Callithrix jacchus: one gene and its partner. The main gene of each other region encodes a partner of the protein of the gene in region 2 in a complex. Links are inferred from orthologs where the notes say so. Each region holds a gene or a part of one and is shown on either strand. Other genes may lie near its edges.

Region 1 (7,011 bases), on a different chromosome or scaffold from region 2:
GGAGGCTGGGGGGGTGGGGGAAGGGGGGAAATCACCTAAGGTCAGGAGTTTAAGACCAGTCTAGTCAACGTGGTGAAATCTCCTCTCTACTAAAAATACAAAAATTAGCTGGGCATGGTGGTGGGCGCCTGTAATCCCAGCTTCTCGGGAGTCTTGAGACAGGAGAATCGCTTAAACCCCATGAGGTGGAGGTTGCAGTGAGCCAAGATTGCCCCATTATACTCCAGCCTGGGTGACAACAGTGAAATTTTAATCTCAAAAAAAAAAAAAAATAATGAATATGAATAAAAGGTATACAAGTGTTCATAATATTATTATTTCAATTTATCTGTAGATTAAAAATGCTTCAGGCCAGGTGGGGTCGCTCAGGCCTGTAATCCAAGTACTTTGGGAGACCGAGGTGGGCAGATCACCTGAGGTTGGGAGTTCAAGACCAGCCTGACCAACATGAAGAAACCCTGTCTCTACTAAAAATACAAAAAATTAGCTGGGCATGGTGGCGCATGTCTGTAATCCCAGCTACTCAGGAGGCTGAGGCAGAAGAACTGCTTGAACCCAGGAGGCGGAGGTTGCGGTCAGCTGAGATCGCGCCATTGCACACCAGCCTGGGCAACTAGAGCAAAACTCGGTCTCAAAAAAAAGCAAAACTTTCATAAATCTTAACAATGTTAAAAAAACAAACAAACAAAAAAGCTTAAAAATAAAAAGCTTAAAGAAAAATAGGCAAAACTTTCATAAATCTTAACAGTGTCACCTTCCTCTAGGGAAGGAAGAAGACAGACAAGGAGGCTTCTGGGATGCCAGTAAGGTTCTATTTCTTTTCTTTTTTTAAAGTTCTATTCCAATAAGCCTTTTGCACTCCTAATGTTCTAGTTGTTGAACTGGGTGGTGAGAACATGCACGCTTTCAAGTTGTGTACATGATTTGTGCAAATTTCCGTATTTTTAAACCACAAGAAAAAGAAAATATTAAGGAAATCCATTTTATAAAGGTAACTACACTTCAAAAATAGTTTACATGTAGATTTAGAACTTTTTTCCCCTTTTTTTAAGGAAAGCAGAGGAAAAATGGTTTTAGTGGTGAGCAAAGACTTTAAAATACCTGGGGCTATGTGTGGATATCAGGTTTATTCAACACTTTGCAGTCAACAATGACAACTGGTTATTATGATCTCAGTTCATACCACATAATGAATGCAAGTCTCTCCCCTCATCTCTCCAGTGTTCCAGTTCACCCCTCTGCCTAGGTAACACTTCTTCCTACCAATTCTCATCCTTTTGTCAGTTTTCTTCCTACCCATCCTTTTCCATTTTTGTACCTTGAAGTATAGGGTGAGTCACTAAACACCACGTCACACCCCCTCAAATACTTGCTCACTCACAACGTCTTCCAAATGCCAAACAGATCCTTTTCTCCTCTCTCCCCTCCCTTGCCAGAGTCGCTTGCTGTTCTGTTTCCGGTCTATTTCCAGGGGAGGGAGCGGACTGCAAATAGACATGGGTACTTGCTTCATTTTGCCAAAAAAGAAAAAAAGAAAAAGTACTAGCTAGCACTTGTCAAACTAAATTGCAGAGGAACAAGCTGTCAAGGAGCTCACCGCAAATCCTTATGGATTTGAAAATCTCTTTAACCTGACTCTCCCATTCAGTTCCCTAATAAATAAATAAATATTAGGATGGGAAGAGCAAAAACAAAGATGTCTGTGACTGAGAGGTCACGGGGTGGTTTCGTGAAAAGCAGTGGGGCACCAAGAAGAAGCTGGAGAGGAGGGACAGCGGCTCAAGGACCCAACCAGGCGGGCCGGACGGAGTTAGAGAGGGGAGAGGGGGGCCCCTGCTGGACACAGGCTGAAGGGGGCCCAGGAGGTTGGAGCTAAAAGGGCAGAGTGGGCTTGGGGTGAGGAAGCGGCAGACGAACGGCGGCCCCGGACCACCACTGAGGAAACGACCGTGGCAGGCGGGAATAGGGACAGCCCAGCCGCGAAGGGGAGGTTCGGCGGGAGCGGGGTGAGACGAGGCCCGGGCCGCACGCCCACCTGCGAGTAGGAGCATTTCTCAGAGTCGCTGCCGCCCAGGACAGCGCACGCCTCATTCTCCAGCTCCTCGTCCTCCTCAAGGACGTCGACCAACGATACGACGGGCTCCAGCTCCGACTGCCGCCCAGCGGCGCCCTCAGCCCCGGCCATCCTCAACTGTCACCCGAACAGCGGCTCGGCCACGGCGGAGGCGGGAAAAGCGGCCGCGAGGGGCGTAGCCGGAGGAGGCGGGGCCCGAGCGCCAGAAACCAATGACAAAGAAAAAAAGCGAAGAAAGGAGGAGGAGCGACCTCCGACAAACGGAAGTCACTCCTCTCCCTTCTCCCGCCTGCGCCGGTCGGGGGCTGATTTCCGCCTCCGGCTGGCGCTTTCCCGTGTCGCGTTCTTTAAGCTTAGCGGTCGCCATGGAGTTGCTGGGAGAGTACGTCTGGCAGGAAGGGAAGTCGCAGAAGTTGCGGGTGTCGTGTGAGGAGCCGGGTGGCGGCGACCCTTTTCAGGGCCTGTTGTCTGGCGTGGCCCAGATGAAGGAGCTAGTAACGGAATTATTCGGCCCCCTGGTACAGGGGGAGGTGCAGCACCGGGTGGCGGCGGCTCCAGACGAGGCCTTGGACGGTGAGCTCTGAGACTGTGCTGCAACGACAGGAGGGCGGGGCGGGCGCCCAGGGGAAATCGGCTTGGGGAGCCTGTGTAGAGTGACAGACTTGGACAAAGTGAGCCTCGAGGAAAGAAGAATTGCATCTAAAAATTTTTGGTGGGTCGGGGCAGGTGGCTTACGCCTGTAATCCTAACACTTTGAGAGGCCGAGGCAGGAGGATCACTTGAGGTCAGGAGTTCTAGAACAGCCTGGGCAACATATCGAGACCCCATTTATATTATTATTTTAAGAATAAATTTAAAAGATAAAAATTGTTGGCATTTTCAACATATTTATCTGGATTGCTTCTACTCAAGCATTTCCACGACTCTTACCACTTTTTGATTTATATCACAAAAAAAGAAATAGTGCCAAATGCCTACTATTATGTGCCAAACCCTGAGCTGAGCCCTGGAGGAAGAATGAGGTGAATGTGGCTGAGTTCCTACCCTCGTTAAACACAAGGGGATTAGACAGGCAGACACTCTATTAAGAGTGAAAGTGATTCTGTGGCCCTCTGTAACTATTGCAAACCCAGAGACCCCAGGAAGGCTTCAGAGATGACAAGACTTTTGAGCTGGGTGTTGAAGAAAATAGAAAGTTTTACCAGGTGTTAAACTATGTTTGGAAGAGTGCAGTGCAGTCTATCGCAGAGTAGGAACAGGTTCCAAAGATTGAGACAGACTTAATATTAACACGTATTGACTCCCAGGGACTCTCTTGCTATATTCCGGTTTTGTAGGTGCAGTTTGAAAGTAGAAACATGAAGTTTAACTGCATTAGTGTTTTTAAACTGTCTTGAATGCAAAACTAGACAGATTCATTTGGACTGTCCTGAACTGAAAAACCCAAAAACTAGATATTGGAGTCAGGATTTACAATTCTTTAAGAAAAGCCTAAACTACTTTCCTTCCATCTTGGGAATTAACATCTTGGTAATATGGATGTTGGCTATACTCAAAAAGAACAAGAAGTGTTGGCTGGAATGTGAAGAAATTGGAGACCTTGTACATTGTTGGTGGAAATGTAAAATGGTATAACCACTGGGAAATAGAGTTCGGTAGCTCCTCAAAAAGTTGACCTGAAGTTACCACATGACCCAGCAGTTCCACTGGTAGCCCTCTCAAGAGAACTGGAAACATGTTCACACAAAAACTTACACATGAATATTCATAGCAGCATTATTTATAGTGGCTACAATGTGGAAACAACAATTGGCTGGGCTTGGCATTGCACCTTTAGGAGGTGGAAGTGCATTAACAAAATGTGATCTGTCCCTACAATGGAATATTACTAGCAATAACATGTAATGATGTATTGATATATGCTACAACATGAATGAACCTTGAAAACATTATGCTAAGTGAAAACCAGATGCAAAGGGTACATGTTATATGATTTTGTTTATAAATGTACAGAAGGGGCAAATCCATAGAGATAAGTAGATTAGTGAGCCGAGTGCAGTGGTGGGCACCTGTAGTCCCAACTACTCTAGAGGCTGAGGCAGGAGGATCACTTGAACTGGGAGTTTGAGTCTAGCCTGGGCAGCATAGCAAGACCCTGTCTCTAATAAAAATTAAGGGGAAAAAAGGTAGGTTAGTGGTTGCCAAAGGCTGAGGGGAATGGAAAGTGACTGCTAATGGGCATATCATTTATTTTTGGAGTGATGAAAGTGTTCTAGAATTAGATAGTGGTGATGGTTGCACAGGCTAGTGAATATACTAAAAACCACTAAGCTGTACACATTAAAAGAGTGGATTTTATTATGAATGAATTGATATCTCCAAAAAGGAAAGTGATAGACAATAAAGATTTTAAACACTGAAATTCTCAAAATCATTTTAATCTAAAATGTGCATGGTTTTATTAGTTCCTAAAGTGAAATGGTTTTACTCTCAACCACTTTAGCTATATATATTTCTTTCAACCACAGAACATATTGTCATACAACAAATATTTATTTTAAAAGGTGATGATGAAGATGATGCAGAAGATGAAAATAACATTGATAACGTAACTAACTTCGATGGACCATCTGCAAAACGGCCAAAACCACCATCTTAACAATAGCCTTTATGATATTTAAAAGACTGCTATTCTATCCTAATTGTCACACTGGGACATTTAAGGAAGACTTATGCTCTAATTTGGAAAAGTGTTTGTGTTCTTCTCCTGGGACAATTTTGTCAAAGAGAAAACTAGTTTTTCTCTTTCTAGCAAAGATAGTAAAGGTTTGGAAATAAAATCCATTTTCTTGAGAAATAATTTCAGACCATGAAAAATAGAACATAATGTATAAAATCCTCTTAAGTTGGCAACTGAATTTTTATCATTGTTTTCTATTTTTAAAATGACCATTGAATTGTGTGATGTCTACATCTTTTAACTTCTGCTTCTGTTACAACGAGTGCATGTCACGGTTCATAGGCAGTAACATTTCAGAGAACTAACATGAACAAGTGGTGAAAATTGGGCATTAAATGTAAAAATAACAGTTCTTCATAAATAGAAGGAAAATGAGGAAATAGAAATACTGAAGAGGAGAGTCCTTGAAAGAGACCCAAGGAAACCCTGAATTCACACCCATATCTGTCCAGTATACAGATATGATGCCACTTAATGAATGTGCATTAATCTGATGTATTATGTACCTTAAGAGAGCCAGATGGGGTGGGTTATGTTTTTGTGCTGTGATATGGTATGGACACAGGTACAAATATAAGGCCTTAAGTAAGCAATCTGTGTTGACTACAATTTAGATATTTCCTCTCCTGTAGCCATACTTTGATTTTGCTTTAAAAAGATTATTTAGCCAGGCTAATTTTGATTTTGCTTTTAAATGGTTATTTAGCCAGGCCTGGTGCCGTACACCTATAATCCAGCACTTTGGGAGGCCAAGGCAGATAGATCACCAGAGGTCAAGAGTTCAAGACCAGTCTGACCAACAGTGAAACCCTGTCTCTCCTAAACAAAAAATTAGCTAGGTGTGGTGGTGCATGTCTGTAATCCCAGCTACTTGGGAGGATGAGGCAAGAGAATCACTTGAAAATGGGAGGTGGAGGGGTTTCCTCCGTCTCCAGATCAAAAAGGTTAACAGGCGGGTCGAGTCTGAAGAATCTGGTGATGAAGAAGGGAAGAAGCACAGCAGTGGCATCGTGGCTGACCTCAGTGAACAGAGCCTGAAGGATGGGGAGGAGGACCCAGAAGAAGAACACGAGCTGCCTATGTGAACCTATGAAAACCATCAACCTGAACAGAGATGCAGAGGATGTTGATTTGAATCACTATCACATTGGGAAGACTGAAGGATTTGAGATACTGAAGAAAGTGAAGACTCTCTGCCTCTGCCAAAATTTAATTAAATGCATTGAGAATCTGGAGGAGCTACAGAGTCTTCGAGAGCTGGATCTTTACAACGACCAGATCAAGGAGACTGAGAATCTAGAGGCGCTAACAGAGCTGGAGATTCTAGCTATTTATTTTAATCTGCTGAGAAACATCGAAGGGGTTGATAAGTTGACACAACTGAAAAAACTCTTCTTGGTCAACAATAAAATCAGTAAAATTGAGAACTTAAGCAACTTACATCAACTACAGATGCTAGAGCTGGGATCTAACTGCATCCGGGCAATCGAAAATATTAACACGTTAACCAATCTGGAGAGTTTGTTTTTGGGGAAAAGCAAAATTACTAAACTTCAGAACCTGGATGCGCTCACTAACCTGACGGTCCTCAGCATGCACAGCAACCAGCTGACCAAGATCGAGGGTCTGCAGAACCTGGTGAACCTGTAGGAGCTGTACCTCAGCCACAACGGCATTGAGGTCATCGAGGGCCTGGAGAACAATAACAAACTCATCATGTTGGACATTGCATCAAATAGAATCAAAAAGATTGAAAACGTCAGCCATCTAACAGAGCTGAAGGGAGCCTGGAGACAGTGTGCCTGGAGCAGAACCCCCTGCAGAAGGACCCCCAGTACCATAGAAAGGTCATGCTTGCCCTCCCCTCCGTGCAGCAGATTGATGCCATGTTCATCAGGTTCTGAGTCTTCCTTGCTCCGCACAGGGTCCCTGTCCTCGGAAGAACTGCTCAGCCACAGTTTTTTAACCCACCTGTTGCTCCTGAGGTTGTATCAACAGTCACAAACGCAGTGGCAATAAAGGCACTGATGATAGCTGATGCACAATGCCATGCATGTTTTCAGATGCCATTGCAATTAAACCTTGCCACACAGTCCTCCTGGGTGAGTGTTGACAGTTATTGTAGCCACAGAGAGAATACTGGACACGTCATATTCATTTGCTAGAAATTCCTTTATTTCCTCCTCTCAGAAGGCGG
Region 2 (6,434 bases):
GGCCCAGGAGTTGGAGACCAGCACAGGCAACATAGTGAAACCCCACCTCTACCAAAAACACAAAAATTAGGGGTTGGGGACAAAAAAATTACAATTAGCTGGGCATGGTGGCACACAGCTGTACCACACCTGTAGTCCCAGCTACTTGGGAGGCTGAGGCAAGATAATTGCTTGAGTTCAGGAAGTGGAAGTTGTAGTGAATGAGACTGTGCCACTGCACTCCAGCCTGGGCAACAGAGCAAGTCTCTGTCTCAAAAATAATAATAATAATAAGGCCGAAGGCTGGGCGTGGTGGCTCACACCTTAATCCCAGCACTTTGGGAGGCTCAGGCGGGAGGATCACAAGGTCAAGAGATCTAGACCAGAGGCGGGCGGATCACAAGGTCAAGAGATCGAGACCATCCTGGCCAACATGGTGAAACCCCATCTCTACTAAAAATACAAAAATTAGCTTGGTGTGGTGGCACACAACTGTAGTCCCAGCTACTTGGGAGGCTGACGCAGGAGAATCGCTTGAACGCGGGAGGCAGAGGTTGCAGTGAGCCAAATCACACCACTGCACTCCAGCCGGGCAACAGAGCGAGACTCCATCAAAAAAAAAGAAGAAGGAAAAAGAAGTGAGAAAGAGAGAAAAGAAAGAAGGAAAGAGGGAGGAGAGGGAGGAAAGAAATACTCTATAGCAAATTGAAATGGGCAAATGTGATGAAGAATGCCTGGGGGTGCTGAGTTATACTGGTTATCCTGAAGGCCTCTTGGAGGTGACACTGGAGCCAAGGTCCTAATAATGAGGAGGAGCTAGCCATGGGAAAGTTTGGGGACAGTCTTACAAATAGAAGAGTAAGTGCAAAGGTCTGGGGTCAGGCTGCCCTTGGTCGGAAGCAGAGAGAAGGTCCCAGACGCAGGAGAAGGAGCTGGGACTTTTATAAGATATAGCAGGACTTTATTCCAAGTGCAAAAGGAAATCATTCTAGGGTTTTAACCAGAGATGTGATCCCATGCAATGTTTTTTTTTTTTTTCGAGACAGAGTCTCACTCTGTTGCCCAGGCTGGAGTGCAGTGGTACAATCTCAGCTCACTGCAACCTCCACCTCCCAGGCTCAAGAGATTCTCCTGCCTAAGCCTCCTGAGTAGCTGGGACTACAGGTACACACCACCATACCCAGCTATTTTTTTTTTTTTTGTATTTTTGGTAGAGATGAGGTTTCACTATGTTGGCCAGGATGGTCTGGATCTCTTGACCTCGTGATTAGCCCGCCTCAGACTCCCAAAGTGCTCGGATTATAGGTGTGAGCCACCGCACCTGGCCAATACTTTTTTTTTTTTTGAGACGGAGTTTTCGCTCTTATTACCCAGGCTGGAGTGCAATGGCGTGATCTCGGCTCACCGCAACCTCTGCTTCCTGGGTTCAAGGAATTCTCCTGCCTCAGCTTTCCAAGTAGGCGTGCACCACATGCCCAGCTAATTTTTGTATTTTTAGTAGAGATGGGGTTTCACCATGTTGACTAGGATAGTCTGGATCTCTTGACCTCATGATCCACCCGCCTTGGCCTCCCAAAGTGCTGGGATTATAGACATGAGCCACCGCGCCCAGCCAATACTTCTTTTTTTTTTTTTACTGTAAATGTCATAAAAACCCACTTTGGAAAAATTGGAGGTAAAACTAAAAGTAAATTAAAATCACCCCTATCCTATTATGCAGAGATCATGAGGATTTACATGTTGCTGTATGCTCTAGGATTTCTCTACATGTGTACAGTAAGAGACTAACTTGGCCTTTTCTTTTCTTTTTATTTTTTGAGGCGGGGTCTCGCTCTATCAACCAGGCTGGAGTGCAGTGGGTTGATCACGGCTAACTGCAGCCTCTGCGTCCCGGGCTCAGGCTATCCTCCTATCTCAGCCTCCCTAGTAGCCGGGACCACAGGTACGCATTTTTTTCTGGAGACATGGTTTCACTATGTTGCCCAGGCTGTTGTCGAAATCCTGGCTCAAGCAATCCACCCTCTTCAGTCCCCCAAGTAGATGGGACTACAGGCATGCTCCACCATGCCCAGCTAATTTTTAAAATTTATTTTTGGCCAGGTGCGGTGTTGCGTGCCTGTAGTCCCAGCTACTCGGGAGGCTGAGGCTGAAGGATCGCTTGAGCCCAGGAGTTCTGGGCTGTAGTGCACTATGCTGATCGGGTGTCCGCACTAAGTTGAGCATAAATAGGGTGACCTCCCGGGAACGGGGAACCACCAGGTCGCCTAAGGAGGGGTGAACCGGCCCAGGTTGGAAATGGAGCAGGTCAAATCCAGTGCTGATCAGTAGTATTGCACCTGTGGATAGCTACTGCACTCCAGTCTGGACAACATAGTGAGACCCCGTTTCTAAAAAAAAAAAAAGAAAAGAAAGAAAAGAAAAGTTACTTTTGTATTTGTTGTAGAGATGTGGTCTCACTATGTTGCCCATGTTGGTCTTGAACTCCTGGGCTTAAGTGATCCTCCTCCCTTGGCCTTCCAAAGTGCTGGGATTACAGGCGGGAGCCACTTAGCCTGCCCTAAAGTGGCATTTTCTTTCTTTTTTTTTTGTAGAGACGGGATTTCTCCATGTTGGCCAGGCTGGTCTCGAACTACCGACCTGAGGTGATTCCCCCACCTCCGCCTCACAAAGTGCTGGCATTACAGGCGTGAGCCACCGCGCCCGGCCTAAAGTGGCATTTTCATACTCATAGTTGTGCAGTCTGATTTTCCACGTTATATGAGACCTAGGCACAGCGCCAATACTTGCGTTCAAGGCCGTCATATTTCGCCTCAGTGCAGGCGTTCTGCTGACAGGCTCCCGCTCCGCACAGCGCCCCCACCCCGCTCTAAAATGCCTCCTCTAAAATGTAAATCCGACTCTTTACCGTCCACTGTGAAGCCCCCTCGGTTGGACCATGGGGTCGTGGGCAAGAGCAGTATCCTTGTGGGGGGGTATCAGACCCCGCCACCGTCCCTCCGCGAGTCGCTGCATGCACGTTAGTGCCACATCTCCGGGGGATATTGGGTACCGGTAAGAAACAGGGCGGGAAGCGCCCAGACACCCTCGGGCCTCACTAGGGCCTCACTAGGGCCTGCCCGGCCGAGGCCACAGGCCCTAGACGGCGCAGGCGCGCTGCGGTCACAAGGCGCAGTTAGGGGCGGAGCCTTGCAGGGTGCGCCTCTGGGCTAGGCGACCACGGGGTCTTCAAAACCCCGTCAGGGCTGGCTTCCTGGGGCCTGACTGACTGTGGGTCACTTTGCACTGACGGCCTGGGATCGAGTTACGCGCGAAGGGACAGAGTTTCTGGAGGAGACCGCGGCCTCTTAACCGCTGACTCGGTCTCAGAAGGCACCCGGCAGGGCCGCTTGGCGGGAACTGACCACGCGCCAGGCAGGCTTCCCAAGAACGAGTGCCGGCGCGTGTGGGCGGAGTCGGGCGCAGGGGGCGGGGATTCGGGAAAGGGACCGGGAGAGAGGGCGGGGCGTGGGGGCCTGCGCCTCGGGGGTGGAGTCCGAGCTGCGTGGCGGCGGAGGTCATGCGGTGCGCGAATGCACACGCTGGCGCAGGCACAATTGGCAGGGATGGCCAGGGTGGCCACAGCTGCCCCAGGGGCACGGACACAGCGGGAGCTCCGGCTGACGAACCTTCCCCACCGCACCCGCCAGGTCCTGGCAGAGACGCCGCATCTGCGGCCAGGGGTTCAGGAATACGGCCGCACATATTGTATTCTTTCCAAGGGGAGGTCGGGAACAGACTGGCGGCTGCCTGCGCCGGGGCGAGGGCTGGATTCGGGGAGGAAGAAAGGAGGGCGGGCGGCGACCGGGGTAGACGAGCAGGGGTGCTCGGAGGAGGGGAAGAAATAGAAATGGAAGGAGAGAAGCCCTGCCAGCGGTGGCCTGGGCCACGTGAGGAGTAAAGCGAATGACTCTAGGTAGGGTGACCTGAGGGGGGGCTTCAGAGGATCAAGAAGGCCTGAGACATAGGCAAAGTCGTATCAGATGGCACCTTAACCGAATGCCCCCCCAGCACCCTTAGTGTGCCTTTCCCGACCCCCTTGGAGGCGGAAATCGCGCATGGGTCCCTGGCTCCAGATGCCGAGCCCCACCAAAGGGTGATTGGGAAGGATCTCACAGTGAGCGGCAGGATCCTGACCGTGTAAGTTCTGAAAGGGGCTGGAGTTGGGGGAGGCAACCGATGGAGACGTAGGGGGCACCCATGGATGAACCCTAAGGAGCGCCAGGTGCGCCGGGCCGGTCTCCACCTGAGGGGCTGTCTCATGGGCTCCCGAGGCTTTGCTGTAATGGGTGCCTGAGCGGCAGAGTGACGGACCAGGAGTTGTCACCTCCAATTTTATTTTCTTTATCCCTCACTTTTAGCCGCTGGAAAGCTGAAGACTGTCGCCTGCTCCGAATTTCCGTCATCAACTTTCTCGACCAGCTTTCCCTGGTGCTGCGGACCATGCAGCGCTTTGGGCCCCCCGTTCCCCGCTAAGCCTGGCCTGGGAAAATGGGGTGAGGTCTAATATTGCGTCTCCCTAGGTAGGGCACCCAGCTTTCCCTAGGGCAGGAGTTCCCACAGTTGCTATTTTCCTGTGAAAGCCTCATGGTCGGCCTGTACTGGCCCGTGGGTGCTCAGGGGCCCCTTGTTTGATCTGGTTCTTAAATGTTTGTTACCACAGAAAATAAAACTGAGCTACTGTTCCAAGTCTGAGTTTATTTCAGCTACAGCACCTCCCAATATTCTAGTCATTGTGCTTCGGTTACAGGGGAGGTTCTAGAATCCAGATATTCAAGGAAATTGAAGACAATTTAGGAAATGGAAGAAAATGAAAATCAGCTGGGCTCTCATTCAGCATCAACTACTGTCAACATTTTGGAATCCTTCCTTATAGTTACATTTATTACAGTTGTTTTCCCCTGAAGTTAATAGTAATAAACGTGTAACTGTAATATACAGCATATAATTTTTGCAAGTTTAGCGTTAATTTTTTTTCCTGAATTTTAAATCTAACATGAGCTTCTTTCCTCTAACAGTGAAGAAAGTGCTGGGTCAACTGACTAGTGTTTGGGGAAGGAGTTGGCTCCCTGTAAATACACTAAACTCAGTCTTAGGACTCTTTTGTAGATTCAATTGGATTTTCTGAGAGTGGAAATAAAGAGGTACAACTGCGTATCCTCAGAAAACATGGAAACGGTTTGATCCTTTTTAGTCTTTCTCTGAAGATGTGCTGCATGGGACTGGAGCAGCTCTTATGGTAGACTTCAGTTTCCCGGCTATGGAGGCAACAAACACCATTCAGGGCACCCTGGCCAATGCTGCCCAGGTGAATATGAGCTTCTGTATCCTGGTGGGTGGGGACAGCTGCTAGTCCCTGTCCTGCTTGCATACTGGAGTCACCTTTCTTCCTTTCCTGCTGGGGTGATGTCTTTCCCTGGCCTTGGGTAGCTTCCTCACATGCCTGTGCTCACTGGTGGTCTGCTGACACCAGAGGAGGACTCTCCGTGGATATCCAGGGTTTTTTCCCTGTGCAGCTCTCTTCTCTCTAGCTCCCCATCCTGCAAACTCCAGCTACTGGGACTCTCTGATTCAGAGTTTCAACTCATAAAGTCCGGGTATCTGCCTGGCTCCACCAGGAAACTCCACACAGGGCACTGGGCCAGTCACGTGGCTTACCTCAAGTGTTTCCCAGCTCCCACCTGTCACTGTCCCTCACTGCCCCACAGCCAGTTTATTGTGTTCCATATATTTGGTCTGGTTTGGGGGTTCTTTCATGTGGCAGTACATATTCAGTCCCTATTACTCCATAAGGAGGAACAGTTTCATTTTGCAGAATCTGGGGAGCTCTGCCAGTAGTGACAGTGGCACTGGTCTCGAGCTTATGAAGATGACACTTTGTTCTCTCCCTCTGTTTTACTCATTCCTTTCTTTCTTCCTTTCTTAATATTTTTTAAACGTTAATTATTGATGAACAGTTGGCAATTTAGATCTTTTACTTTTTAAAAAATTCTTTTTTTGGACACAGGGTCTGGCTCTTGTCACCTAGGCTGGCACAGTCATGGCTCACTGCAGCCTTGACCCTCTGGGCTCAGGCAATCCTCCCACCTCAGTCTCCTGAGTAACTGGGACCACAGGCACATGCCACCACACCTGGCTAATTTTGTGTTTTTTGTAGAGAGGGGTCTCACTATGTTGCCGAGGCTGGTTCTGAACTCCTGGGCTCAAATGATCTTCTTGTGTGGGCTTCCTAAAGTCCTGGGATGACAGGTGTGAGCCACCACACCCAGCCCCATATAACTCAAACCTAGCCCCAATTTAGCTCTGTCTCCCTTCCTCTTCCTCTCATGATGCTTCTGTTAGATTCCATTCATTTCTGAGAGATTTTCCCCTAAGGTTAAAAATTGCCTTGTTTTCCCATGGCTTAGTTATCATTATCA

Evidence for each region. Proteins that work in one complex are often made in the same cells at the same time.
Region 1: the proteins of LAGE3 (region 2) and GON7 are in contact, whole or in part, in a crystal structure (PDB 6GWJ), measured with the Homo sapiens proteins. The link is inferred for Callithrix jacchus from reciprocal best matches to the Homo sapiens genes LAGE3 and GON7. Residues at the interface, in NP_006005.2 of Homo sapiens: Pro60, His61, Ile62, Phe63, Thr64, Leu65, Ser66, Val67, Pro68, Phe69, Pro70, Glu74, Arg102, Ile103, Glu111, Cys113, Leu116, Arg117, Val120, Ile121, Leu124, Asp125, Leu127, Ser128, Val131, Arg132, Met134, Gln135; in NP_115879.2 of Homo sapiens: Met1, Glu2, Leu3, Leu4, Gly5, Glu6, Tyr7, Val8, Gly9, Gln10, Leu17, Asp28, Pro29, Phe30, Gln31, Leu33, Leu34, Val37, Met40, Lys41, Val44, Thr45, Leu47, Phe48, Asp49.

Annotation. Positions count from the first base shown.
Region 1 is NC_133509.1:128,017,624-128,024,634, reverse strand, and holds the start of GON7 (EKC/KEOPS complex subunit GON7), read left to right. Parts: upstream 1-2,381; 5' UTR 2,382-2,439; coding exon 2,440-2,647; intron 2,648-4,638; coding exon 4,639-4,733; 3' UTR 4,734-7,011. Other genes in the region: putative E3 ubiquitin-protein ligase UBR7, read right to left, coding at 2,036-2,185. UniProt on the Homo sapiens protein: Component of the EKC/KEOPS complex that is required for the formation of a threonylcarbamoyl group on adenosine at position 37 (t(6)A37) in tRNAs that read codons beginning with adenine.
Region 2 is NC_133524.1:150,270,188-150,276,621, reverse strand, and holds LAGE3 (EKC/KEOPS complex subunit LAGE3), read left to right. Parts: upstream 1-3,500; 5' UTR 3,501-3,535; coding exon 3,536-3,723; intron 3,724-4,026; coding exon 4,027-4,155; intron 4,156-4,376; coding exon 4,377-4,491; 3' UTR 4,492-4,511; exon of another isoform or gene 4,512-4,765; 3' UTR 4,766-4,958; downstream 4,959-6,434. UniProt on the Homo sapiens protein: Component of the EKC/KEOPS complex that is required for the formation of a threonylcarbamoyl group on adenosine at position 37 (t(6)A37) in tRNAs that read codons beginning with adenine.